4 linked regions of the Diceros bicornis minor genome follow. The protein of the gene in region 2 binds, or shares a complex with, the protein of the main gene of each other region. Links are inferred from orthologs where the notes say so. Each region holds a gene or a part of one and is shown on either strand. Other genes may lie near its edges.

The links.
Region 1: RNF113A (region 2) and SNRPD2 share a complex: the UniProt entries of both Homo sapiens proteins name them as parts of the minor spliceosome. The link is inferred for Diceros bicornis minor from reciprocal best matches to the Homo sapiens genes RNF113A and SNRPD2.
Region 3: RNF113A (region 2) and CRIPT share a complex: the UniProt entries of both Homo sapiens proteins name them as parts of the minor spliceosome. The link is inferred for Diceros bicornis minor from reciprocal best matches to the Homo sapiens genes RNF113A and CRIPT.
Region 4: RNF113A (region 2) and BCAS2 share a complex: the UniProt entries of both Homo sapiens proteins name them as parts of the pre-catalytic and catalytic spliceosome complex. The link is inferred for Diceros bicornis minor from reciprocal best matches to the Homo sapiens genes RNF113A and BCAS2.

Annotation. Positions count from the first base shown.
Region 1 is NC_080773.1:19,907,281-19,914,165, reverse strand, and holds the start of SNRPD2 (small nuclear ribonucleoprotein Sm D2), read left to right. Parts: upstream 1-3,880; 5' UTR 3,881-3,973; coding exon 3,974-3,975; intron 3,976-5,617; coding exon 5,618-5,797; intron 5,798-6,885. Other genes in the region: QPCTL (glutaminyl-peptide cyclotransferase-like protein), read right to left, coding at 1,283-1,564, 2,305-2,448, 2,943-3,152. UniProt on the Homo sapiens protein: Plays a role in pre-mRNA splicing as a core component of the spliceosomal U1, U2, U4 and U5 small nuclear ribonucleoproteins (snRNPs), the building blocks of the spliceosome.
Region 2 is NC_080781.1:110,360,443-110,366,663, reverse strand, and holds RNF113A (E3 ubiquitin-protein ligase RNF113A), read left to right. Parts: upstream 1-4,461; 5' UTR 4,462-4,621; coding exon 4,622-5,653; 3' UTR 5,654-5,709; downstream 5,710-6,221. Other genes in the region: NDUFA1 (NADH dehydrogenase [ubiquinone] 1 alpha subcomplex subunit 1), read right to left, coding at 1,325-1,345, 3,269-3,358, 4,226-4,327. UniProt on the Homo sapiens protein: Required for pre-mRNA splicing as component of the spliceosome. As a component of the minor spliceosome, involved in the splicing of U12-type introns in pre-mRNAs. E3 ubiquitin-protein ligase that catalyzes the transfer of ubiquitin onto target proteins.
Region 3 is NC_080751.1:38,647,418-38,655,141, reverse strand, and holds the start of CRIPT (cysteine-rich PDZ-binding protein), read left to right. Parts: upstream 1-4,714; 5' UTR 4,715-4,801; coding exon 4,802-4,817; intron 4,818-6,815; coding exon 6,816-6,881; intron 6,882-7,630; coding exon 7,631-7,685; intron 7,686-7,724. Other genes in the region: PIGF (phosphatidylinositol-glycan biosynthesis class F protein), read right to left, coding at 753-844, 2,257-2,505, 4,048-4,068. UniProt on the Homo sapiens protein: As a component of the minor spliceosome, involved in the splicing of U12-type introns in pre-mRNAs. Involved in the cytoskeletal anchoring of DLG4 in excitatory synapses.
Region 4 is NC_080743.1:47,233,650-47,241,665, reverse strand, and holds the start of BCAS2 (pre-mRNA-splicing factor SPF27), read left to right. Parts: upstream 1-5,005; 5' UTR 5,006-5,055; coding exon 5,056-5,148; intron 5,149-5,258; coding exon 5,259-5,351; intron 5,352-8,016. Other genes in the region: DENND2C (DENN domain-containing protein 2C), read left to right, coding at 230-469, 711-797, 2,073-2,104. UniProt on the Homo sapiens protein: Required for pre-mRNA splicing as component of the activated spliceosome. Component of the PRP19-CDC5L complex that forms an integral part of the spliceosome and is required for activating pre-mRNA splicing.

The sequences.
Region 1 (6,885 bases), on a different chromosome or scaffold from region 2:
TTGAGACACATGCTTCCGAGAACTACAGGGTCCTGAGAGCGCGTAGGAAGGGGGCGGAGGATAACCTCGCTCAGGAAGCACATCTGGGTCTGTTGGGAAGGGATGTTCGCGTGGAGAGTGAGTGGGAGCTGGTCTGGCAAAGTGGAGCAGAGGGAAGAGTGTTCCCAGGCAGGGAAGCAACATGGAGCAGGGCTGGGGCGAGAGGGGTTTGAGAAAAGGCCCGAGGGTTCAGCAAGGGCCAGGGAGCTTGGGGCACTGGGGTTTGAGCCATGGAAGGGGCTGAGCAGGGGAGGAGCGTGAGGGGACTTGTGTTTTCGTTCATTCATTCCATACATTTTTTTTTTGTGAGGAAGATCAGCCCTGAGCTAACATCTGTGCTAATCCTCCTCTTTTTGCTGAGGAAGACCGGCTCTGAGCTAACATCTATTGCCAATCCTTCTCCTTTTTTCCCCCAAAGCCCCAGTAGATAGTTGTATGTCATAGTTGCACATCCTTCTAGTTGCTGTATGTGGGACGCGGCCTCAGCATGGCTGGAGAAGCGGTGCGTGGGTGCGCGTCCAGGATCCAAACCCAGGCCACCAGTAGCGGAGCGCGTGCACTTAACCGCTAAGCCACCGGGCCAGCCCCATTCCATACATTTTTATTGACCTCCTCCTCTATGCCAGGCAATATTCTGGGCCCAGGAAATACAGCAGGAAACAAAAGCAGCTAAGTCCCTGCCTGTATGGGGCTTATTCTAGTTGGGGAGAAAAACAAGTCAACATAAAGCAGCATAAAGCATGAGATAGTGCCAGGAGCTATTTTAGGGGGGTTGGGAAGGCCTCTTTGAGGAGGTGACTTTGGAGTGGACACCTGAATGAGGGTGGGAGCCACCCAGGAAAATGTCTGAGAAAAGCACATTCTGGGCAGAGCAAACAGCAAGTGCAAATGTCCTGCGGTGAGAGTGAATTTTGTGGGTTTGAGGTACACAGATGAGGTGGGTGGCTAGAGTGGAGTGAGCGAGGGGTGAGAGGTGGTAGATAAGACTAGAGAGGTAACAAGGCACACCTCATGGGCCACTATAAGGACTCTGGCTTATGCCAGAGGAGTGAGGTGGGAGCCATGGAAGGGCTCCCAAAGGGCAGAGGAGGGACAGGATCTGACATTCAGAAGGTGGAAAGATCCCTGTGGCTTTGTGTGTGGAGTAGAGGCAGGAAGACAAAACCAGGTAAGGGAGGGTGGTGGCTTGGACCAAGGTAGAGGCAGCCCCGACTCCCACCCTTCCCCTTCCCCCACTCCTCACCTGATTCTTGGCTCTGCTCAACTCCAAGTCAAGGGCTTGGGCCAGCTCCAGGAGCAGGGCGCAAGGCACAGCTGAATCTGTGGCCCCCACGAAGGGGGCTGACCCAGATGGGAAGAGCTTGGAGTCGTAATGGCAGGCAAGGGTGAGGTGACGGGCAGCCCCTGGGTCAAGTGTGGCCACCACGTTGCCAAAGTCCAGTGGCCCCAGGGGCGTCGAGGACGTGAAGGGGTCCAGCTCCACATGCCAGCCTGCCGTCAGGGCCCGAAGCGTGGCCTCCAGGAACTAGTGGCGAGAGAGGCGGGAGGGTGGGCGGGGACTGGGGAGCAGGGCCATGTGACCTGAGCCGTGCAGAGCAGCCAGGTTGACTCACAAGTCCCACTGTGGTTTAAATCATTCCCTTGACACACTTCTGCTGAGTCTCTACTGAGTGCCAGGGGTGGGGTGATCCCGCCCCTTGATGCCAACAAGATTAATCACAGCTCCCTCTTCAATAGCACTAGGAACCCTGTGGGGTAGGAACTGTCAATGGCTCCATTTTGCAGATAAGGAAACAGGCACAGAGAGGTTAAGAAACGAGTCCAAGGTCACACTCCAAGTGGCTGAGGTGAGATTTGAACTCAGGCAGTGTTCACATGACTATCCATGCTTTCTGGGAAGCAATATAGAGATGTTACAGCACCAGCTCTGGAACCAACCTGTTTGGGTTGAAACCCTAAGTATACCATTTATTAGCTGTGGGCTTTGGACAAGATGCCTAACTGCTCTGGGCCTCAGTTTCCCCATCTGCATAACGAAGATCACATTGGTACCCACCTCACAGGGCTGCTGCTTGTGCCTAGCACATAGCACGTTTTCGGTGGGGGCAGTACAGCCTGGTGATTACCAGGTGGGACTCTAGAGCCAGATTAGCTCCAATCAGAGCCCCAGCTCTGCCTCTTAGCTGCTTTGGGATCTTAGGCAGAATGCCTATCTCCTGTTCCCTGGCGGGCTGCGGATCAGGGGTTGGAGGCGGGGCCCTTTACCTTTCTGACTTGGAGATTGCCCGGGCTGCCCGGGGTCCGTACAACCAGCAGGGGGCGCAGATAAGCGTTCCAGAGACGCTGTGGGTCCAGTCGCCCCACCACCTTCCGCAGCCGGGCTTCGGGGAGGCTTCCGATCAACGGGCCCTTGGGAGTGGGGTGGGATGGGGCAGAGAAGAGCAGAGTGTGATAACAACCCCCATTCCGACCCTACCCCGGGCGCCGCCACCCCTAAGAAGCCCCAATTCCTCTCGCTAATCGCGGTCTCTAGCATCGGAGGTTTCTAGGATAAATTCTAGACTCAGGAAAAGTCCCTCCAAGCCCATCCGGTCCAGCCCACCCCAACCCTGATGGGGAAATCGAGGTCCAGCGAGAAGAAGGGACTCCGCCAAATAGCTGACTTTAGGATTAGAACCCAGAACTCTGTCTTATTACTCCAGACCCTTCCTCTTAAAGCGGAGCCACTGTTACAGAACAAGCCCGAAGCTTCATTCCATTGGCAAGGGGCGTGCGATCTAATGACCGAGACAGTGGCACCTGCGGTTAGGGCCATACGAGAAAGCCACGTCAACCTGAGACCTTAGGGAAGGGGAGCCGGGGAATGAGGGCCCCCGCGGTGCCCGCCCCCCGCCCGGCCTCACCCGCAGCTCCCGGGCCGGCGGCGGCTCCTCCGTCCGGCGGTGCCAGCCGCTCCAGATGGTGTAGAACGCCCAGGCCACGGCCAGCGCCAGCAGCAGCAGGGGCAACAGCGGTACCCGCGGTAGCAGGCGGCGCTTGGGCGGTGAGGGTGGCTCCAAGAGGCCGCGTTCTCCGGGCCGTGGCCGGGGCCGCCCGCGGCCCCCGGAACGCATGGCAGCTTCGCCCTGAAACCGGTCCGGGACCGCGGATAGAATTTAGGCCAAGCCAAGTCCCACCCCATGAAATCAGCGGACCAAAGAACAAGAGCGGCTGAACCATCCGACCCTCCTGCCAGCACTGAAGCCAATGGGGACTCCCGCTCTGAGGACACGCCTCCCCGTCTCCCGCGGGCTTTGGGGTTGGTTCCCCCGGAGGGCTGCACAACCCAAAAGGGAGCGCGGAAGGGGTGGACTCCGCCTCAGCGGAGGAGGAGAAGCCAATGAGAAGCGTTTGATCACGTTAAACAGGCGCCCTCCGGGGCGCAGGTCCACGCCCCTCCGGATGTAGGCAGAGGATTGGTTACGCGGAGTCGGAAAGATCAATAGACACGTAAATAACCAGCCCCCGAGGGGAAAGGGGCGGTGTCCATCCCTGAAGCGAGGAGCGGATTGGCTTCGCGGAGGCCGCGCCCCCGGAGGCAGGGCCGGCGGGTATTTGGAAACGGCGTGTCCTTTCCCTCCTTCAACCTGTGCCGTTCTACGACAAAATGGTTTGGGTCGAACCCGCTTTCTTTTCCTCTCCGTGGTCGTGAACATCTGCCCCATACGGTCCCGAATGGCCTCGAACCACTACGCAGCACTCGTCTCCCGCCGCTGGGCCGGGCGGGCGGGGATCGCTATGGCAACAGGCCACGCCCCCAGTCGCGGGTTGGGTGTGCGCAGGCGCCCACGGAAGTGGGCTGCCGGAAGCGGAAGTCCCGCCTTTCGCTCTCTCTTTAGAGGCAGAAGCAACGCGGAGAAGACGGGAGTGCGTTGAGAACGCAGTCACTGCCACCATGTGAGGCCGGGCCGGGCTTAGGTGGCGGGAGTGGGGTTGAGGGTGTAAACTGGGCCGCTTACCGGTGGAAGGGGGTGGGCAGAGCGGGGGGCGGGGGCAGAGAGTTTAGGGTTAAAGTGGCGTACTTTTCTCCTGATGAGTTTGCGCACGGGCGTGGGGCCTTTGGCGGATCCTGACCTCGGGAGAGGGAACGGCTTTATCAGATAACGGGCGAGGGCTTTCCCAAATGCTTAGTCTTGTTGAAATGAATGTTAAGGGGCAGTGATTTTACGAATAAAGACCCTGGGAGAGGGCAGTGCGGACTTGTAGGAATAAAGGTTTGAGGTAAGGGACTTAACCGGATCTTATGAGCTTTACGACCTAATTCGCGACTTTTACGGATAACGAGTCCCCGGAATGATTTGACTTATTTATTCATTTAGTAATTATTTATTGACTGCGCATGTATCAGGCACTGCTTTAGATACATCAGTGAGTTGTCTCCCTCCCAAAGAAAAAGTCCGCCGCTGCAGCTTATGGGGTGGGAAGAAGCATAAGTGTAATGATAATAAACAGGTAAAGTATATGGTGTGTTAGGTGACCAGGGCTATGGATGAAGAAATAATGGAGCAGCAGAAAAACAATGGGGAATGCCGGTTTTGAGAGACTGAAGGACACAATGAGGAGGCATCACTTGAGCGAAGACCTGAAGAAAGTGAGAGAGCGAACCACAAAGATACCTGGGCGGGGGGTTGCTAGACTGAGAGAAAAGCAAATGCAGAGGCCCAGGATGAAAGTTTGCCTGATATCTTCAAGGACCGCGGAGGAGGCCACTGTGGCTGGAACAGCCAGAAGGGGGCAGATGTAGGGCATTGTAAAAACGTTGGATTTTACTTTTTACACCAAGAAGGGAGCCATGGGAGGGTTTTGAAGAGTGAGATGATATGACTTAAGTCTGGAGAACAGACTGTTGGGGAGCATGGGTGGAGGCAGGGAGACCAGTAAGACCCTAGGAGAGAGATGACGGAGCTTTAGGCCCTGGTAGGAAATGGTCAGATTCTGGATATATTTTATTTTGTCGTTTTCTGGATATATTTGAAAGGCCCATGACAGGACTTGCTGACAGATTGAATGTAGGATGTGAGAGAAAGAAAGAGAAGAGTCAGGTCGGTCCTGTGGCGTAGTGGTTAAGTTCCATGTGCTCTGCTTTGGCGGCCCAGCTTCATGGGTTCAGATCCTGGGCACAGACCTACACCACTTGTCAGCCATGCTGTGGCAGCAACCCACATACAAAATAGAGGAAGATTGGCACAGATGTTAGCTCAGGGCTAATCTTGCTCAGCAAAAAAAAAAGAGAGAGAAGAGTCAAGTTGGCCTCAGAGTTTTTGCTTAAAGAGCTAGAAGGGTGGAGGTGCCAGTGACGGAGATGAGGAAGGCTATGGATAGAGCAGATCGGGGTGGTTGGGAGATCTGGAGCCCAACGTAAGAGGTGCAGGGTTAGAAATGTCGGTTAGGCAGCCTAATGGTGCTGCCAAGCGAGAAGACTGAGGTGGGGGGGGGGTTGGGGGGGTTGGGGCAAGGTCGGGAGGCCTGAGCACAGGCCATGACCACCCACGCTCCAGCCAGGCCCTCTCACTCACGGGTTCCGTGCTTGCCCACTCAGGAGCCTCCTCAACAAGCCCAAGAGTGAGATGACCCCGGAGGAGCTGCAGAAGCGGGAGGAGGAGGAGTTTAACACGGGTCCCCTCTCCGTGCTCACGCAGTCCGTCAAGAACAACACCCAAGTGCTCATTAACTGTCGCAACAACAAGAAGCTCCTGGGCCGTGTGAAGGCCTTCGACAGGTGAGCGCCTGGGTCTTGGGAGGTGTTCCGTCCAGGCCTGGAGAAGCACTGCCAGCTGCCCTATAGGGAGCTGGAATAAAGCATTTCTCAGAAGCCCGGGGCATAGTATCTCAAAACCCCGAAGTGTGACTGTCCCCCATTGCCCTTCCAGCTGTGAAGTGCAGTGGTTATGGCCACGTACTTGGCAGCCAGTCCTCCCGGGGTCACGCCCCAACTCTGCCTCTTAGCAGCCATGTGACCTTTGGCAAGTGACTTTCATCCATACAGTGGCAGTGATCATGGTGGTTGCAAAGATTCAGTGACTTAATATAGGTGAAGTTTAGTGGGTCATTAGAAGTACAGCATCTGGCGCACAGGATGCTCCTGATCCTTTTTTGCAGTTGTGACATAGCGTGTCCGCCCGTGCCGGGTACTGTGTGAGGCTCTGGAGATATAGCAGTGACTAAAACAAACCTGGGTCCTATACTCAGGGAGCTTATGCTGTAGGTAAGAAAGCCAGCAGCAAACACATAAATAATGTGTCATAAAGACAGATGATGACAAGTTGTATGAAGAAGAGTAAAGGTAAGAGGGTGGAGTTCTGAGAAGGGGGTGCTGTCTTAGATGTAATCAGAGAGGTCTGGTCGGAAGAGGCAACAGTGAACAAGTTGAATAAAATGAAGGAACAAGCGGGGCCAGCCCCGTGGCGTAGTGGTTAAGTCCCGTGCTCTCCGCTTCAGTGGCCCAGGTTTGCAGGTTCAGGTCCCAGGCGCGGACCTACACCACTCGTCAAGCCATGCTGTGGCAGCAGCCCACATAGGAAATAGAGGAAGGTTGGCACAGGTGTTGGGTCACGGCTAATCTTCCTCAAGCAAAAAAAAAAAAAACAAGATTGGCACAGATGTTAGCTCAAAGCGAATCTTCCTCACCAAAAGAAAAATAAAGGAGCAAGCTAGGGTCTGAGTGTTTCAGGCAGAGGGAACAGCAAGTGATTTTTCCTCTCTGGGCCTCAGTTTCCCTATCTGCAAAACGTGCATCATCATAATACCCCTCATTGTACAGTTGTGCAGATTAAACGTTATTATGTATGAGAAATACTTGGCTCAGTA
Region 2 (6,221 bases):
CCTGTCAGATGCAGTCAACGGAAACCACACAGTGCAGGTGTGTTTAAGGTCATAAGCAGATCAAATGTTACACTAGATAAAAGATGGAGATGAAAAACAATTTAGATTTCTCACCTACAGGTCCTGTGGCCATCTGGGGTGTGGATCTATACACATGGAGTATCACCATCTTTACAGCAGTTATACCTTTTCAGATCTTCATATTATTTGGTTACCTTTAATGTTGAACATGCAACTCTTTATTTCAAGTGGTCAGTACACTCATTTTATTAAACATGATTGTTGCTGCTCTACACTAAAACAAAAATCAACACTTAAGCAAATACTGTGTGTTAGATACAGAATGAATGAAAGTTGAAGGTGCAACGTTTTAAAGCATCCTAACTGGAATTTTATTTTTTATTTTTTTTCCCCCAAAGCCCCAGTAAATAGTTGTATATCATAGTTGCACATCCTTCTAGTTGCTGTATGTGGGACGTGGCCTCAGCATGGCCGGAGAAGCGGTGCGTCGGTGCGCGCCCTCCGAACCCGGGCCACCAGCAGCGGAGCGCGCAAACTTAACCGCTAAGCCACGGGGCCGGCCCCTAACTGGAATTTTAAACACTATAGGATTCACCCAGAAAAGGAACTAGAAAAAAAGTACTACTCTTTCTGTATTCTCCTGACAATCTCTGAAGAAACAATGTTTTTTAGTATATTAGTATCTATTACAATAGTAGCAACTGCCATTTATGACACATTAGATGTTGGGCACTGTGGCAGGTGCTTGGTGTACATTTTTTTTTGTTTTGTGAGGAATATCAGCCCTGAGCTAACATCCATGCTAATCCTCCTCTTTTTGCTGAGGAAGACCGGCTCTGAGCTAACATCTATTGCCAATCCTCCTTTTTTTTTTTTTTTTCCCCAAAGCCCCAGTAGATAGTTGCATGTCATAGTTGCACATCCTTCTAGTTGCTGTATGTGGGACACAGCCTCAGCACGGCTGGAGAAGCGGTGCGGCGGTGCATACTCCAGATCCAAAGCCGGGCTGTCAGTAGTGGAGCGCAGGCACTTAAGCGCTAAGCCACGGGGCCGGCCCCACTTGGTATACATTATGTCTGTAATTTTACAAGCCTCAGTCGCTTTCCAGTTTTTTTAAAGTGATAAAGCTACATTGGGTAGACTGCTTGATCTTGTGTAGTACTATTAAAAAAAGTAAAGAAAACCTTCGATTTTACTTTTTCATTTTATTTTTATTAGGTACTACATAATACATTACATAATCTTCTAGCAGGGGTAGATGAGTATAACTGAGTTATTTTTCATCAATCAGGAAAATGCTTCCTTAATCAATGTTCTCCAAACCCTGAAAAACAGTTTAAAAAGGAAAACGTGAAAATTATTTTCCCATCAAAAATGTACACATACTCTTATTTCCAGTGTCACCAAATGGCATTCTCTGTCATTTAAGAAAGTACTTCCACATCCCACATTGCTCTAACTCTAACAATAAATTGGACTGAATTTTATAATCACTAAAGTAAAAAGAATAACCTATAATGATTTCTAGTTTTCTTTTTCTGACAGCAGCAAACATTATCACTTTACATAAAAAGACCCTCCCATATCAAAACTAAAGGCAAGCAACTACATAGTTACCATCTGCATCCTTCTATAAAGTACCCTCAGAGAGTCAGAGGACAGTAAGATAAAACCGTTTTATAAAATAACAGTCAACATGAGGAAGATACTATTAGCCTCATTCCACTGTTTTACAGATGAAGAAATGGAGGCTGAGAGAGGTTTAAAGTTGCTTGCTTAAGTCAGTAAGGCAGTAGCAGAGCCAGAATTCAAGTTTAGGGACTCCTCCAACTCCAGAACTCTTGCCCTGTAAGCATGACACTATTTATTCAGAAGACCCACTCTGTCTTACTCAGTTCACAACCAAATACTTCAGAAACTATAAAGTAAAAGATTAAGTAAAAGAAATGATGACATTTCTTCCAGGTGTTAAAATAACACAGTCCAGATATTTTGTTTACTATTGTAGGAAGAATCACCTTGAGACAAATTAAAATTGCATAGTCCTAGGGGCCACCTTGTAGAAATCCTAATTCATTTGGTCTGGCCAGGGGCCTAGGAATCTGTATTTTATCTCATATGCCAGGTGATTCTGATGGTTATTCTTGGACCATACTTGAGAAATACTGCTCTAGATTTGTAGATATCATCACGTAGATTAGATTAGATTCTCAAATATATACTGAGGGGCAGATCACCTAGGTTGAGTCCTTATAGTGTTATTTAATCGTTCTGACTCTCTATTTTTTCATCTATAAAATGGAATTAATATTTACCCAAGTTCACTGAAGAATAAATGAGCAAGAAGAAAATATAAAAAACTAAAATATTTTAAAAGAATAATGAAGACGAACTCCTACAAGATATAAGAACATACTATTAGGTTGAACCATATGAAAATGCTACTACTTGGCCATTTTTAACCTACAAAAAACAGCAATTTCATATGATTCAAGCACATACAAAATTATAGTGCTTCTTTACATATGGTATTGGTGCAGGAATTGGCAAACCAATGGAGTATAGAAGAGTGCATTCATGAAACAGGCCCAGGTGTATATGGAAATTTAGTTTACTAGAGTGGTATTTCAAATAAAAAAATGGACTATTCTATAAATGGATAATTGTGACAACTGGCTATCTCTTAGAAAAAAGAAAAGTCAAATCCTGGCTTCACATTATGTCCCAAAATGACCTGTAGAAGGGTCAAAGCACTAAATGTAAAAAGAGAAAAGAAAAGAAAAAAGAAACTGTAACAGTATTTAGAAAAATTGTAAGAATATATTTTTACAATCTTGGGTAGCAAAGTCATTTGTAAGCAAGACAAAAAACCCCAAATCCAGAAGGATAAACTATGATAAACTGAACATCAAAATTAAAAACTACTATCTGATGAAAGACATCGTGAAGTGAAAAAGACAAACAGCAGACTGGGAAAAATATTTGCCACATATAAAATAAAAGATTAATATTCATAATACATAAAGAACTGCTATAAATCAAAAAGAAAAAGACAACAGAACAAGCAAAGATTATAGGCAAACAATCCACAGAATAAGAAATACAAACGATTATTAAATATGTAAAAAGCTACTCAACCTCACTAATAGACAAGAAAATGCAAACTAAATTAGCACTGTAAGACTTTTGGCAAAATATTACCAGAACCCACCTCCGTGACAGATGGCTAGCATCAGAACCATCTTACCTTTGACTTATAGTAATGATTAACTCCAGAGATGCGCCTATCTCTTTCCATCAAACTCCACTGATATGGATAATAGGCAACCCTTTTTTCCTACAATTAAAAGAAATTATTATTGCAGTTTATAAACATAAGTGACCCAATAGAGGGATACTAGAACTTTAATAAGTGACATTATAGAAAAATGGAATCATCACTGAAATAAAAACCAAATTAACAATAGAAGACAATAATCCTAAATAAAATCGGACGACTAAACTTTAGAATTAAGATGGTAACCATGAGTTCTTACACTTTCCTATTTTAACCAGCATCATTTTTTTTCTTTCCTCCTTTTTTTAAAAGATATGACTACTTGTTTCCTTTTGGGACCCTAATGAGAAGAAACAACAGTGGTAGATCACACGTGAAGGACAATCACAAAAGCAGAAAGCAAACACATTTACACTCTGTATTCCAGAGATGATGGGAAGGACTAGGAAGAGAGGAAAATTACAATCCTGATGTGAATAACAGGATCTTGCGGTAAATTCCTAAAGGCTTGCAAGAAAAAGTGGGAGATAAAAAACGTCAAGGTAAAAACCTAATTAAGGGTAGGGAACACGTCAAAAACGAAGCTACCAAGACGTGGATGCGAGAAATTAAAATCAAAATCCAGCAAGAAAGGAGATTGGAGGTCGGAGGAAGCGGGGACAAAACTAATTGATGCCTCTCTCTGCCTCTACTCTGCCCTCTTGCCCACTCTTCACCCAGCAACTTCTTGCTAGAGTAGAATGTGGTTTCCGTTGGGCTTCATTCCGCAAGCCTCTGCTTTTAGGCAACACGAAGAAAGGAGAGGGCCGACCTTGGGACTCCCCATCTCGGAGAGAGGCTCCGGGTTCTACCGGCCTCCCTACCCCACCGCCCAGTTTGTAACGCCAATCCGCGGAGTCAGCCGTCGGGCCGCAGAAGCTGCCTTACCTTGCCCCCGTTAGTGAACCTGTTGAGGCGCGCCGTGGCCATTCCGGGGATGAACAAGCACACGGCCATGACGGCCATCCCGGGAAGAATTTCGAACCACATCGCAACACGGTTACCGGGACCAGACACTTCCTCCCAGGCCCCTTAAAGGTGACCCGGCTTCGGTCCCTTCCGGGTAAACTCCGCGGCAGCCCGCGAGCGGGGCGGGGTCACGTACGCCTCTGGAGGAAGCGACGGAGTCCGGCAGGGTTCAAGAGTGGCGTGTGCTCGCGCTCCCGCGCTCCCGCAGTCTTCCTTCTGCAGTCTGTTTTGCTCCGAGTCGCGGCGGAGCGCACGCCGTGCAGTGACGCGAAGAGGCCCCGCGCGAGCAGCCGTTTCGGAGCTCGGGACTCTAAAATGGCGGAGCAGCTTTCTCCAGGAAAGGTGACAGACCAGGTGTGCACCTTCCTCTTCAAAAAGCCTGGGCGGAAAGGGGCTGCAGGCCGCAGAAAGCGCCCAGTCCGCGACCGAGAGCCCGAAGACAGCAGCAGCAGCGGTGAAGAAGGCAGCACTGTGGTTCGCCCGGAAAAGAAGAGGGTGACCCACAATCCGATGATACAGAAAACCCGTGGCAGTGGTAAACAGAAGGCGGTTTACGGCGACTTCAGTAGCGAGGAAGAGGAGGAGAAGGAGCCTGAGAGTCTCGGCGTGGTCTACAAGTCCACCCGCTCGGCGAAACCCGTGGGCCCAGAGGATTTGGGGGCGACTGCTGTCTACGAGCTAGACACAGAGAAGGAGCGTGACGCACAAGCCATCTTTGAGCGCAGCCAGAAGATCCAGGAGGAGCTGAGGGGCAAGGAAGATGACAAGATCTATCGGGGAATCAATAATTATCAGAAATATATGAAGCCCAAGGATACGTCTATGGGCAATGCTTCCTCCGGGATGGTGAGGAAGGGCCCCATCCGAGCTCCCGAGCATCTACGTGCCACCGTGCGCTGGGATTACCAGCCCGACATCTGTAAGGACTACAAGGAGACTGGCTTTTGCGGCTTCGGAGACAGCTGCAAATTCCTCCATGACCGTTCAGATTACAAGCATGGGTGGCAGATCGAACGTGAGCTTGATGAGGGTCGCTATGGTGTCTATGAGGACGAAAACTATGAAGTGGGAAGCGATGATGAGGAAATACCATTCAAGTGTTTCATCTGTCGCCAGACCTTCCAAAACCCAGTTGTCACCAAGTGCAGGCATTATTTCTGCGAGAGCTGTGCACTGCAGCATTTCCGCACCACCCCGCGCTGCTATGTCTGTGACCAGCAAACCAATGGCGTCTTCAATCCAGCGAAAGAATTGATCGCTAAACTGGAGAAGCATCGAGCTGCAGAAGAGGGTGGTGCTTCCGATTTCCCAGAAGACCCCGATGAGGGTCCAATCCCCATTACTTAGTTTTCCCATTATTCTCAAAAATCAAAATAAATATTTTGTTGTTTTGGAAATGTTAATTCGTGTCCTTCCTTTCCAGGGAAAGTGTCAGAGGAAAAGGCGGGTGGTGAAGTAGGGTCCTGGATGGATACCTTGTAAAAGCATCGAGGTAGGTATAATCTGAATTTTTACCTTGTATAAATGCTGCCTGTGTGTAACAGATCCTTTTCAGAATCCTTTGGCTTAAATTCTGGGGATGGGAGAAGTTCAAGAAAAGAGCTAGAATTCGCTGAAATAACCAAAGCTGTGATGAAAGCAAAAACTGAACCTATTTGTTATATCACATTTCCGTATCAATAGTTTACAAAAGTACTTGCATGCGTTATCTCTACTGGGAGCCTATACTACTTCAAATACACCCCAGCCAAGGTGCGTGTGTGTTGTGGGGGAGGGGGGTGTTGAGTGGGAGAATTCGGTTGGGGGACTTGTAGCTAGCACCACAGGGTCCACCACATTCTATAACAATGTATAAAGTATAGTGGGGATACATGAGAAGCCTACTGGGAAAATGGCTTAATAAATCATCACACAC
Region 3 (7,724 bases), on a different chromosome or scaffold from region 2:
AAACTACCATTTCTCATTACAAAGGTCTTGTCCTCCCCTCTGTAGAAAAGAATAACCTGTTAGTTTAGTGTGTATATACATAACTATGTATATATATATAAAACTATATACATAATTATATATGTATGTGTGTGTGTATATCACATCACTCATTTCACCATGATCACTCATCACTGCTAAACTGAAGTTTCCCAAACTATAATGAACATTATTTAAGAAATATTCATGAATTTAGTTTTCACTAATTTAAAATCAGTTTTGAAAAAGTGTTTAAATTTTACTTTTAAACTATAAACATTACCTTATTAAGTAATTAAATATAGGAACCTATTGACTTTTCTTAAGAAAACAAACTCTTTTTAAGCACTTCAGAATCACATTTACTAAGAACTGATATATTAGTTATAATTAACTTACACATATCATTACATAAAAGTTCCTTAGAGGTTCTAAGGGCCACACATTTATTGGTATAGTAGAGTTTCTCATCTACCTCCTCCTCACATGCAAGTGGGTGACATAAGGCTAGGTAATAGGAGAATTTAATGAATTAAGTTATTCCACTGTTTTTTAAAAGAATAACACTGCTAAGGAAGGGCAATGTGTCAGCATCCTTACTTGATCCATTAATTAAACACACCATGGTTTTCGTCTAATCACCAATAGAATTAGCACATTATCTAGTAAATGAGTGTTTTAAAACATAATTGCCACAGATAAAAATTGCCTTCAGATAAAAATTTCAGACTTACTCTATTAGTGGTGCTCCATAGAGAACAAAAATTATATGAAAGGAGAAACAAGACATAAGAAAATAGATACAGCATTTCAAAAATCTGGTTACCTAAAAAAGAAATGAATAATTTAAAGACTCAAGAGAATGCCTAAAGAACAGCAAATGCCTCCATTTTACCTACAAACACAACTTATTCCCATAATGTGTGATACAGTCGAATGTTCTTTGGATTTGGGTACCCTGCAGTCAGATCACATGTCCCATCAGGTACACAGCCCTCAACACAGCCTTACAAAGCAAGCATCACCCCCATATTCCACCCACCCAACCAACACTAGAGTCAAAATGCATTTGTTTCCATGGTATGTATTGAGCTATGTTGTTAATCAGTATTTATAAAATATTTACCAATAACAGAGTGCTGGGATCACATACACGTGACCACACATGAAATATTTGCAGAAAATAATGACTATAATAATTTTTTTCATTTTAAAACAAAATCCCTAGGAAAACTACACCAAAAAAAAGCACAATACTAAATAATTCTCCAAATCATGTTCATGTTACTAGATGATCCACATGAAAAGACTTACATGTTTGTAAATTAGTGTGTGGGACCTACTTGACTTGGAGATTAAGAAGATCTAATTATAAAACATGCAATAAGCTTTTTTAATCATAGGGCAGTAAACGTATTTAAAATTACCTCATAGAGGGCTTACATAGTATTGAATAATGTTAAGTGAGGACTTTATTAATTTAAAGTAATAGTCAAGTGTTACACTGTGGTGAATATTTCAGAAAACAGATTCTATTATCTGAAAACTTTACTGTTTAGTTAAGGAAGGCCATATTGAAACAAGAGCTATCATAGAGTCTTATTTTCTAATTTCTGAAAACCTCATTAAGTGTCTTTCAGAAATGCAAAAAATAAATGAAAATAAACTGAAATGTCTTATAAAATAAGGTTTAAAGTTATGACTGCTATATGTATTTATCTCCAATGATCACATAAAACTTGATTATATGGGTTCACAAAGCTATAATATCCACTTAAGACATCCTAATTTTGGGGCCAGCCACGTGGCGTAGCAGTTAGGTGCGCACGCTCCGCTGCTGGAGGCCTGGGTTCGGATCCCGGGCGCGCACCAACGCACCGCTTGTCAGGCCATGCTGTGGTGGTGTCCCACATACAGTGGAGGAAGATGGGCACAGATGTTAGCCCAGGGCCAGTCTTCCTCAGCAAAAAGGAGGAGGATTGGCATGGATGTTAGCTCAGGGCTGATCTCCCTCACACAAAAAAAAAAAGACATCCTAATTTCACAACTAATGCACGGCAAGGATCTATTAAACATTGTGAGCAGCATTCCAACAAATAGGCTACTGATTTGACAAAGAAATCAGGTTCTCTTTACTCACTGTAAATAACCCAATGAGTACTTGACTAATACTTTATTCTTCCATTAAAAGAAACGCTACCTCCATCTAAAAATCAGTTATCAAGAAATAAGCCTTACCTTGTATGATAATGAACTTCTTCTAGAGGACGCATTTGGTTTCACCACTAAATATAATACTAGATTGACAGCAGTTACACAAACAGAACAGATGCACAACCATGTCAAGTGTGTTTCCAATATTGAGAAGTTCTCCAAGAACAATGATGGAATGAAGATGCTTAGGATAATTGAAAATATGCATAAAAGATGGGTATACAGTAGTCTCTTGATATCAGTATCTTTCATGGTGTTTTCTTGAGTGGCTATCTAATGAAAAACAAATTAAGAAAAAAGCATATGCAATAACTTTTTCCATCATCCTAAATGCTCTAACGCCTAAAAATAAGCCTTGAACCAAAGTCAATTTTCTACGGGCAACAAGGTATTGCTTTCACAATAAGATGCATATGCGTAAATGCACATGTAGACTAATATGGTACAAATAGCTCTCAGAGCCTAAAAAAGACAAATTTACTAAGTTCTTAAATATTTGCGACTGATTTCTGCAACAGAGTCATGTGCTAGGACCAATTAAGCAATTCAATTTCTTTTTTTTTTTTTTTTTTTGCCAAAATAACAGAGGTGAAAACTAACTGCATGGATTAATGACCTCCCCCAGCTGGAAATATAACCTATGCATTCTAAAAATCCCATGAATACACTTTGGCTAAATTGTTGGCATGTTTGTTTTTTTCACCATTGTAGACCTTTGTCTCACATGACAGGAGTTCACATCTTCTAGCAAATGCCAAGTGACACCAACTGCAAACTCAAATACTCAAATGACGGCCGGTGTAATCAAGAGAGTTCAAAGAACATTATGCTAAACTAAGGGACCCCAGTGCTCCAGAAATACCAAAATGACAGTGTCTGTTACAGGTGCTATACTCCAATCAAATGTAGAGCAAGAATGGGGGCCGGCCTGGTGGCACAGTGGCTAAGTTCCAGAACTCCGCTTCAGTGGCCCAAGGTTCACGGCCCGGACTTATGCACTGCTGGAGGAAGATGGGCGCAGATGTTAGCCCAGGGCTAATCCTCCTCACCAAAAAAAAAAAGGAGCAAGAATGGAAAAAGAGAAAAAAATGTACTTTCTCTCTATACATAAAACACGTATTTTCTATATATATTTAATTATTCATTACCTAACAGACAGCTTATACATAGTGTTGAATAATGTTAAGGACCTTATTAATTTAAAGTAATAGTTCACATTCTGGTGAACACGCTAGGGAAAAAAACATATATTTTATACACACACACAGAGGGGGCGCCCACTAGCGCAAAAAGGCAAGTCCAGGCCTTATTCTAACAGATCTCATTTAATTCACACTACAATCTTCAAAGGCAAATATTTTACTGATAAGGAAACAGGCTAAGACAGGTTAGGAGACAAGTCAAGGTCCCAAGCTCCCGAGTGCCAAATCCATTTCAAAACCTAGTCTCTCTGACAAAAGATACACACTAGGGGTCGAGAAGAGAATGAATAGCAAGGGAGAAAGGAAAAGTTTCTCACAGGTCCTATCCTTGGCTGATTGAGGGGTGGGAAGGGGGATCCGGAAGACATTGTCTCAACAGACACCCCTTAGGACGTTTTTCTGGGCCACGCTCCGAATCCCAATTGACATCAGAGGATTTGGATCTAATACAGTGAGCAGTACCCAAACTCAAATGCTTGCCGAATGAATGAACGAACGAACGGAGAGGGGGTCAAGTGTTTGCCCTTCCTGAGAAGCCAGCACTGTGTTAGGCCCTGGCGAGCCCACGGGGACGCCCCGGAGGCGGCCTCAGTCCCGGCGTCCGCGTTCTGACCTGGCCCGGGTCCACAGGCATTGTGGCGGGAGAAGAGGCCCTCTGAGCTGCTCCCAGGGGAGCCTTCGCGGGAATCGCGGGACCTTTATCTGCAGCCCCACCTCAAACTGTGTAGCTCGGGACTCTACCCAAGCCTCAGCCGGCAGGAGTGTGGACAGCAGGGGACGAGCTGAGAGGCATAATCAAAGAGAACGGGCATGGAGCCCAGGAGAAACGGAGGGACAGACACAGAAGGTCAAATCCCAAAGACGGCCGGTCCATCAGGGCAGCCCCTGGGGCACGCCGGAAGAGTGGCGCTCGAGCGCCCGGGGGCGCGGGCGGAACGGGGCAGAGGCTCGGGGCCACTAGGACAGTTGGCGGGGGCTGCTTTCACCCCCGGGAAGCTCGCGAGCCGCGAGCCTTAGACTGGGCTTACCTAACTCGCCCACCTGCGGAAGAGAAGCGAGACCTACTACCTCCCACCATCAGGTGCGACTCGCCGCCCTGACCTTCGCGCAGGCGCAGGCCTGTGGGGCGGGGAGACCCAAGGCCGCACAGCCAATCGCAGAAGTGGAGGGGCGGGCAAAGGAAGCAGCCCCGCCTTCCGCCCGCGTTTATTCCTCCCGCGGCTTTCCAGGCGTAGGATAGGCGGGGCGGAGGGCGGGGGATCCGGAAGTGGGTTGCCGTAACCCGGAAGGGGAATTCTTCCCTGGCAGTGCTGTTGATGTTTTCAACCCGCTGCTCGTTCTGCGGCTAAGGGAACCGTCGCGGAAGGATGGTGTGCGAAAAATGTGAGTTAAGGGGTGGCTTCTGCGGGAGAAGGAGGCTGGAAGAACCTAACTGGAGTTCCCCGGGAACTTGGCCCTTTCTTTGTTTTGCCAGCGGCCACAGCACTCTGATTCTAGCCTGTCTTCCTACTCTGCCGTTTGACCATTCTTGCCCCTCCCCAACGACCATATAGGTTGGTCTCAGTTTGCACCTCTTGGTCTATTTCCGTTGCTTTCCAGCAACCCCAGATCTCATCCCAAACAGCTTCTGACTGGCTCTCTTGCCTCACAGACCCTCAGGTGGGAATGGGTCTTAAAATTGACTTCTACAGCATCTACAGATTTAGCAAAAAAATACCAGACGCCCAGTTAAATTTGGGTTTCAAGTAAACAACGAATAATCTTTAGTATAAATGTGTCCCGTACAATATTTGAGACTTGGCTCTGCTGCTCCTTAGTACTGCAAGTGCTTTGTCCCCGAGGACTTTTAGGACATTCTTTACAGAAAAAAGTATTCATTTTTTTTATCTGAAATTTAAAGTTAACTGAGCATCTGTATTTTATCTAACAATCGTAAGTCAGTATTCCATACATTGGCTTAATTGTCCTCTGCATGAATATCTACAGTATTGAGGCTGGGGCCAGGAGAGTCTCACCACCTTGAAATGAGTCTGTGTATACTTCACTGACTTTTAGAAAAGTCTTTCCTCCCTATAGTTGCTGTCCAGTGATTCTAATGCCAACCCTTGAGATTTCTAGAAAATATCTGATGATTTTTTTTACCTCACAAACCGTTTATATGTTAAAAACAGCTGTCATATCCCCAAGTCTCTTTTTCCTCACACTAGACATATCTGGCTCTTCTGTCACAAGGTTTCAAGAACTCTTGTCCTCATTGCTGTCTCATTAACATGATCCAGTTACTGTCTAACATGATCCATTTTGTTTATATCTCCCTAGTAGATAAAACTTTGAGCACAGACATCCATGAGTTTGCATAACAGTTCTTATATTAGGTAAAAGGATGACCATGGTCAGATTACTTTAATAAATTCTCAGTGTGCAGAGAATAATTTGGGGTTTCTGTATTTGGAGCCTGGCATTCAAGATGACCCTCCACCATAAGGCCTCAGCTTATCTTTCCAACTTAATTGTCACTAACTATTACCCTCTTCACACTTTGGCCAAACCAAACTATTTTGCATGCCCTTGTGTATTCTGAGCTTTCCCTGCCTTTCCTCAGGCTGTGTCCTTTATCTAGTTTGCCTTCATCCTCTTTCCTCCTCTTTCTTCACAGTCACATTGCCACAAACCCTCTCAGTTGCCTTCCGCACAAAGTTTTCCTGGATTTCCCTAGACAAGGTTATTTCTTCGTCCGTGGAATTTCTCCTAGTACTTTAGCTCTCAATTTATTTTAGCTCTCAATTATTATACTTTTTATTTTCTAGCTTGTATTTTAGTTGAATGGTTCTTAACTTTTTTTTGGTTCTCTGAGCCCTTTGAGAATCTGATGAAAGCTAGAGAAGCTGATGAAAGCTATAGACTCTTACCAGAGTCTGTAAAAGAAATGGACATACAAAAGGTTTGTGTGCAGTTTCATCTTGTTCATGTACCTCTTAAGGACTACTGTTAGAGAAATCAGTGTACTATAAGCTCCTTGAAATCTAGAGCTTCATCTCATTTATCATTTTATTTTTCTCTGTAGTTTGTGCAATGATTTATAGATCATAGGTGCTTAGTAAATATTTATGAAATGAATAGATTTGTCAGATTTATATAAAGTATACATGTACATAAGAAGCCTATTATAAACCATACTATTATCCTACAGATTTTACTGAGAGTCCGTCATCCATTGCCCACAGTTAATATCTTAAGTCTTGGTTCATTGGCCCTGACCCCAGCATTAACAGGCTTCTACTATAATATGATTGCTGATACAATTGTGAACTTTAGGCACAATGTAATGTATTTATTAGATAGTAAATACTAATTCCCCTTACTTTTACTGTCTTGTAACAGGTGAAAAGAAACTGGGTACTGTTATCACTCCAGATACATGGAAAGATGGTGCAAGGAATACCACAGGTATTTTTTCCTTTTAGAACATAGAAATTGAGTTGAATACTTCTTGTGAATAATGTTTTAGTTTTTACATCATTTGGAAAATGAAATGTTTTTATATGTAGAAAATATTTCATGTATTAAACATTAAGAATACTGGATCCCGCAACAATTTAATATCTTCTATTTAGTTCTCTCAGTTACATATTGGGGTTCCTAATTTGGTAAATAGGACATAGCAAAATAATTAAATGATTTTCAAGCCTTGAGTATATCAAAGTAATTGATTTGATTCAACTTAATTGGAGTTGGTATTTAATTCCCCCTCTTCTCACCTGATTTTTGTATTCTTGAAGAAATCATTTAAATATTTTCACCTTCATAATCATTCAGTACAATGAAGATGTTTTCAAAGGGAAGGAAAAGAAACACTTTTTCAAGGTCTATGGCACCAAAGTAATGGCATCTAGATTTTACATTAGTGCATTAAATGTAGACCCACTCCTAAAGTCCTACTTTGAGTCTAAGAAGTAAAATGATTGCATTTTATCCAATTTTTTATTGTTTCCCCAATAAACAGTTGTTTTCTTTTCAAGTAGTGTCTTAAGAACCTGGCTATTAACTGAGGAATTTTGAAAATTTTCGTATAGGTTGGTCTGTTGGTAGGAGGTTGAAAAATGAACTTATTAACTAATTGTTAAATGCTATATGATTATGTTATGTGTGAAATGTGTGGAAATGACCCACTAAAATACGTGTATATTTTGTTATAGAGAGTGGTGGAAGAAAGCTGAACGAAAATAAAGCTTTGACCTCAAAAAAAGCAAGGTAGGTATAGGAGCACCTATAGAGCAGTCATATAAATTT
Region 4 (8,016 bases), on a different chromosome or scaffold from region 2:
GTGTAATAAGAGTACGTGTGGGAAGAAAATGAAGGTAAGGCTATAAGCCATTTGCTTTTTGCAGGTCATGGAGAATGCAAAAAACCAAGAATGAGGATTCCTATATTTATTCTCAGTCCTTTAAGCCATGATTTCCTAGGCATCACTTTCATAACCAGAGCCAGTGTTCCCATAAACACAAAACTTAGGGGATTTTTTTCTTTTCTTTTCTTTTTCTTTCATTTTGCAGCAGACGTGACGCTCAACTCTCTGGTGTCCGAAGCATTTGTCAGATTTTTTGTGGAGCTGGTAGGACATTATTCTTTGAGCATGACTGTCACTGAGCGTGGGGAGCGTGTATTCCAAAGGGAGCCATTCCGTAAATCCCACACCTCCCGAAGTGTACGCCACTTCCTGGATCTCTTCATGGAAACTCAGATGTTTGCAGGATTCATCCAAGACCGAGAGCTTCGGAAAAGTGGAGTGAAAGGTCAGTCTCATCATAAAGTTCTCCCTTTGTATTTAGCACTTGAAAGGCTTGAAAATAATATAAATAAAAAATAGCATAAAGCTACAAGGGCTCAAAATCTGAGTTGTTTATTATGGGAAATATTTATTTTGTAATATTATTTTAGCTATGGAAGTACATTGGTAGTGAGACCAGAGTTTCATTTAGTTGATTTTCAGTCTTGAGTTTTGGACAATTTCACCAACATGAATTTTCCTTGTAGGTTTGTTTGAGGTCCGGGCCCTCCAGTATTTGGAAACAATTCCTGAATCTGAGCCCAGTGGGGTGAATAGAATTTTGCGGAGTCTTGGTGAGTTGCTGAGTTTTCCTGTTAGATAAATGTGGCTGAAAAAGCTTTTGCAGTAAGCATGCCTCATCACAAAAGCTTTATAATCAGATCAACAATGTAACCTCAAGTAGGTTGACCAGAAACCATGACACTAGTTCCAAAGTGTCTTTTGGAAAAAAGAAGTCTCTTTCTCAGAGGTTGGGATTATCCATCAGAGTTGTCCATGGGGCTGTTTTCCACAGATAAACCTCCCTCATGATATAAGAATTTGCATATCATGAGTATTATTCTTTTCTAGGTCACATCCCTGAGAGAATCTTATAAAACTGCGGACCTTTTTCCCAGGAAAATATACTTGGAGCATTCAAACAAATTTTGCATATAAATTTAGGGTGTTCATGGACCCCCCCTGAAGCCCATCCATGGACTCCACACCTGGTTTAGGGCCAGCCCTGGTGGCCTAGTGGTTAAGTTCAGTGTGCTCTGCTCCGGCGGCCCAGGTTCAGTTCCCGGGCACAGACCTACACCACTCGTCTGTCAGTGGCCATGCAGTGGCTCACATACAAAAAGAGGAAGATTGGCAGCAAATGTTAGCTCAGAGCAAATCTTCCTCGGCAAAAAACAAAACAAAACAAAAACACCTGGTATAAAGGAAGTCTGAGGCAAAAGGATTTCCTGCAAGTCTGTAATTTTACACTTCATAAAGAAACACTTTATGATTTTTCAATTTTAGTTAACTTTTAATTATCTAGTATGATATAGGAGAACAGTAGTGTGGTAGCCCAAAACATGAAGAACCTATATTCTATGATATTTATATTGGTCTTTGAAATATATCTCCCTAATTAAAATTAGGCCCTATCCTTAACTAGCTGAGAGACCATGGACATATTATACTTCGGCTGTTATTTCATCTTTATACCACGGGGTTAGATAAGATCAGTGGTACTCAGCTCTGACTACAATATTATAATCTCTGGGGAGCTTAAATAAAAATCATTCCCCCCACACCCTGCTCCCCCTGGGTCCAAGAAATCTCTGGGGAGCAGGCCAAGTGATTTTACCTACAGTTAGGGTTGAAAACCACTGGATTAGATGATGTCTGAGTTCTCTTCCACCTCTACAATTAGACACTTGCAGAGTTTTTTTTGGTGGTTAAACACAGCTGATAGCTTGAGATGGCAGCTTATTCCTGGGCTGTTCTGAATGACGAGGTTGTTAATCTCTTGCCTCAAATAATGTACAATAAATAAAAACAAACTAATGAGAGTTCACTCTACTTTTTTCTCCTTTTAGGAAGTAAAATGAAATTTCTGCAGAAGAAATGAAATCTTTGATTGACTATCTCCATCCTAAATAGAACAGATAATGCCAAAGAAAATATTTTCAGAAAGTCAGGATGCCGTGAAATATTCTACAAAATCCTTGAAAGTTGAAAAGGTTACCAAGTGGGCCAGGTTCTTGGAGGAGGATTCTGCTGTTGCTGCCGTAGTAATCACTGGAGAATTGTTGGGAGTAATCTGGAACCAATGCTGTCTCTACTCTGCCTCCGATTTTCTTTAAGTATTTGATTCTTGGGTTCATTCTTTGTGTTTTGTGCTTAGACTATGAAAGCACTTGAATTTTACAAGCGAAAGACTTAGTGTTGCATTTTTTAAAAAAATAGCTCAAAGATGAGCACAATGAGAGAAATGCTGAGTTTAAGGTCCTAGAGAGGCATGCTAGAAGTGGAGAATACTAGCCCTACACACATAATTCTCATCACTGAAACACCATGGCAGCTTTAAACCTATGGGCTGTTTGAGCTGAGCTAAGGAATATACTCATCATATATATCCTTTTTTTTTTTTTTTGTCTAATGTTCTGTCTAGGGGAATTTCACTTATGCAGAAGCCCTATTTATTAGCACTATTACTGAGTATCTTATACAAGTAGACATCTTGCAGCTCCTCCACATTGTGTGGCACTTGAGTAGCTTGTCCCTTACGTGTCAACATTAAACTTTGTGGAATTATAGCTAATAAGAATATGTCCTTTCAAGGGCATGAGAACTACCTTTTGTGTGTGTGTGTGTCCGCCATGTGCCATGCACTATGGTATATGTATGTGTGTCACCTTATTGATTCTTTAGATCAACTTTATAAGATATTTGCATCTCCATTTTACTAATGAAGAAACTGGAATTCAAAGAGGTTAAATAACTTGCCCAAAGTTATACAGCAGAGCCAGAACTGAAGCCAGGACTACTAGTTTATGAACACAGAGAAAGTTGGTTAGTCCTGCAGATGGAAATGTGAGCTCTGTGGGATTATGTAGCTATTGAAAAAGTTTTCTTTTAAGCCGAAGTGTACCAGAGGCAACTCTTAGGGACTTCAAACTGTGGGTGCCTAGATAAGACTCTTTTTTGGTTCCCCTAGATTCGGTGGACTTTTTGCTCTAATTAAATTGGATTCAGAATATGGATATTTTCTGGGCACACATGACATAATCACGCCGACCCTTAATATCTATCTAAAGAAGTAGTAGTGATTGGAAAGGGGAATTTGTCAGTGATGGTACAATTTTCATTGATAAATACTATAGCAAGTGTCAGTTTGTTTTCTTCTATAGCAAGTGTCAGTTTGTTTTCTTCAATTCCTGCTGATGGTTTTAACTGGCATAAAAAATATTTATTCAAACTTAACAAAACCTTACAAGTTGCGTTATGATCAGTTTATTGACTTGTACAGTGTTGTCATTACAACCCGTTCAGGTGTGCATGAATGAATCTAAAGCAGACATCATTTAAGACTGGTGCTGTATATTATAGTTACTATAGATGTGGGTCCAGAAAATAGAACTGAGCCAATGTCTTTTAAAAAATGTTTATTAAGCAGCTTACCCCAGTGGGGCTCTTACCAGACATCTCCCCATTTGGTCTCTTCTGACACTCCAACCCTGAGGGGACAATTAGTAATTGGGAATTGAGTGTTTATAAAATGGGGGTAGGAGGTATTACTATGGTAGATCCTGGCCAACCCTATGTGAGGGGACCTTTGCTTCAGGGATGGGGGTCTTATTTTATCCGTGCAATCTGAAGCTGCTTCCTTTTCTTAGGCCTGTCTTATTTTGTTTTTGTGAAGTGTTATGAATTCTGGACATGTTTGTAAAAAGAATTGCTCAAGATTTGCATAAAATGTTGTTTACAGATCTTTTAATGAATAAACACAAAAATTCCATGGATCTCTTGGAGAATTTTAAATAAAACTGCATAAAATGTAGACATCTTTTACTTCCCTTAAATCTACAGCTAGCACATTTATCTAATGGTAGGTTAAAAGATAACCCAAATCGAGTCTAGATTAACCAGACTTAATAACCGTGGCCAACATTTCCAGGCTCCTGACAGACAAAGCCTGGGTCTAGGACTGCACACCGGGCAGGGTATATATATAGTCCGACTATGTATAGTATATATATATATATACTGGGAGCCACCGACTAGAGACAGTGCACCGGGAGCAGCATGGGTGGTTGGGAGGCAATGCGGAGCGCTATTCTATTGCTGGAAGTCTTAAAGGCAAAATGATTGGATTTGATATGCGTCTTGAAGATAAAATGACAGGATTTTGAAAAGTTGGGGTTGGTGGGCTGTTATCAATCTCGCCCTGGGGGTAGATCTGGTTCCTTTTGTTACGCAGACTCCAGAGCTTCGAAATTTTAACTGGAGACTGGCGCCTACTTCTCGAGTCTGTGAAAGAACTACACTTATCCAATGCGATGGTTCTCTGGGCGCCGAGAACGAAGAATAGTGGAAGTACACCAAGGAAATCCAGGAGAGAGAAGCCTGGCACAAAGTAAGAGAAGTTTAAGGGGAAAAGGCGGAAGGTTAGGGGAGTAAGACGAGGTAAGAAAACACTCTCTTCCCGCCAAATCCTGCAGCCAGTTCCCTCCGAAATTTTAAAGGATTCCCCTCCCAGGTATCAGCGTTCTGGAGGAAACCAAAAGTCTTAACTACTCTCCAAACTGCTGCCAGTCGGAAGCAAAAAAGTGGAGCGTGCGGAGACAGGAAATTGAGATGTTCCGCTGACTCTAGGAAACCATGTCGTGACGTCACGTCCGACCAAAACAAAATGGCCGGGCAATTCCTAGTGCCTGGGCGAGCGTGCCTTCGGCATTAGCAACTGAGCATGCGCCAAAGCCACTGCCCAGGCGACGTGCTTTACGTCGGTGATGGGCGCAGGCGTATTTCGGTGGGCCTGAGTTTGCGCCGACTCAGAAAGCCCAGGCGAGCTCAAGAATGGCGGGTACTGGTCTGGTGGCCGGAGAAGTTGTGGTGGATGCCCTGCCGTATTTTGACCAAGGTTATGAAGCGCCCGGTGTGCGGGAAGCGGTGAGTTCGGGGGTGTCTGTGTTGCTGACTCAGCGCTCGCTGACCCTTCGTGCTGAAAGAGGCGCCTTACAATTTGCTGGCTGTACCCTGGTCCCTGTTCTCCTTTTTAGGCTGCGGCGCTGGTAGAGGAGGAAACTCGCAGATACCGACCTACTAAGAACTACCTGAGCTACCTGACAGCCCCGGATTATTCTGCTTTTGAAGTAAGTGTGATGTCTTGAGCCCAGCGTATGAACCAGGATCCTGTGAATCGTTCTTTTGGGTTGAGAGCCTTAGCCACGTAAAAGTGAATTTTAAATTCCGGCTTTAACTATTGCTTGCTTAGCTACTACTTCCGCTGTTATAAGGTATCACCAGCGCATTGAAAACCGTTAGATAAGCTTCTTCTGGGGTTCTTATTCTGAGACCCACAGAAGGACTTTCTGGAGCTGTCAACAAGCTAACAATGCAAAAATTAGTGTGTACGTTTTTCCGAGATGGGTTCCTTGCGTAAATTCTCGAAGAGATCCTTTACTCTCTAAGGTCCGCTCTAAAACAAATGATCTAGGGTTTTTTAATATATGTAAGTCTCATTGCCTAAGCTCTTGAGAACCACTGGAGGGCGGCGTTTAAGTGCACCCAAGATACTATTCAGGGTCTAATCAGCTAAATGAAGTGTAAAATATCAATTCTAAATTAGTGAATTCTGGTAAACATTTTAGTACATACATGTTTGGGTTTTTTTCCCCATTGTAGGTAACCATTTATTTATGAAAGAATGCTGTTATTAAAACGCAGTATTTAGGGCTGGCCCCGTGGCTTAGCGGTTAAGTGCGCACGCTCCGGTGGTGGCGACCCGGGTTCGGATCCCGGGTGCGCACCGACGCACCGCTTCTCCGGCCATGCTGAGGCCGCGTCCCACAAACAGCCACTGGAAAGATGTGCAGCTATGACATACAACTATATCTACTGGGGCTTTGGGGGAACAAATAAGTAAATTTAAAAAAAAAGGCAGTATTTATGTTGAAGTAACGTGAAAAAACATTGGTTAAGTTTTAAGTAGGAGAGAGATGTTGCTATGATACGGTATTTTCCCATGCTCTTTCTAAATGTTGTTACCTAGTTATAGTCATTACCACATTAAGAACTAAGCACAGTAATGCTTATTAGATTGATTTCTGAAAGTTTCAGATAACTGCATTCAATCACAAACTTTTAAATATTTGAACCAGGGCTGGCCCTGTGGCTTGGTGGTTAAGTGCGCGCGCTGCGATGCTGGTGGCCCGGGTTCGGATCCCGGGTGCGCATCGAGGCACCGCTTCTCCGTTCATCCTGAGGCCGAGTCCCACATACAGCAACTAGAAGGATGTGCAGCTACGACACACAACTATCCACTGGGGCTTTGGGGGGAAAAAATAAAATAAAATAAAATCTTTAAAAAAAAAATAAATAAATAAATATTTGAATCAGTTTTAGCATTTTTAGCTCTCTTAAATACAATGCATGCTTCCTATCTTTATAATTAGTATACTGATTATGTAACCCTTTTTAATAGTAGGAGCTAATAGTGTACTGGGCTTACTATTTCAGTCCTAAAAACAACCCTGTGAACTATGTATGTGTATTATCCCAATTTTTTAAAAAGGGAAACTATAGCTGAGAGAGGGTAACTAATTTGCTTAAGACCTTAACCACTCTTCAAACTGCCTTTGAAACTGTTCTTCTTTTAATTCATTTAACAATTATTCATGAAGGGCTATTCTATGCCAGGTATTGGGGAACAGGATGGGCAAGGTCCATAGTCATGGAGCTTATATTCTAGAGTGTGGAGACAGACAAATAATCAAAGAATATCAGATTATTAATAAAGCTATATAGAGGATTGTAAAGTAGTGATGTGATTTGGAGTGACTGGGTGACTATTTAGATAGGATGGTTGAGGAAGACCTCTCTGAGATGAGAATGCTCCATGGACAGGGATCTTCTTTGTCTTCTTCTCCACTGTATCATCATCATTTAGAAGGGTGCATGGCACACAATAGGCACCTAAATGTTTATCAATTGAACGTACAAAGAGCTTCTAAGACAGTTTTATTTAACGAATGCTTACTGTGTGCCAGACATGCCCAGAGCTCTTTTCATGACTTAGCTCCATGAGTGTTGGCTCAGTCTTTGGAGAGAGTTGAGTTAAAATTCCAGATCTGTCTCGTACTGGCCATGTGAGTTAAGTAAGGGCTCCTGTGTTACATGGCTCCAGACTGCTTGTACTGCATTTTTATAGTTTCTTATCTAATTGTTAGTTGTTACTCCGTTTCTGTTACTGTACATAGCCTTCTAGCTAGAATGCTAGAGCTACATGTAACTCAACAATAGTCCGAAAAAAGGCTTTCTCCAATAAGAAATGCTCGATGCAAAACTTTTAAACAAGGAATGTGTGATTCCAGAAGGCCTTTTTTGCTTACTCTTTAGTCTAATTGTTAAGATAGTTGAATCCCTCGAAAAATTAAAATTACATGAGATAACTAAGATAATACCGTAAATGAATATTTCACTTAAGCAATTCTGTATTCTCAGGGCAGGAAATGTGCAGAACTCTGTGGAATAGGATATTGACCAAAACATTGGACCTAAAGAAGTTGAGCTATACCACATTTTTTGAAAATAGTAAAATTATTAGAGCAGCTAGCAGAACCAGTTCCTTTTGTCTCTTCCCCCCTTCTCCATTCTTTGCAAAGAGTAAAGTGTGAAAATAGCAGCCTGAACCAAAAAGAAAGTATAAGTTTAGGCTCATAGCCCTAACACTAATTGTTTTATGTCCAAGTCCTTTCTTCTCTTCCCTTACCCCCAGTGAATACTTAGAACCATGGTTCTCAACACTTGCTTCACTTT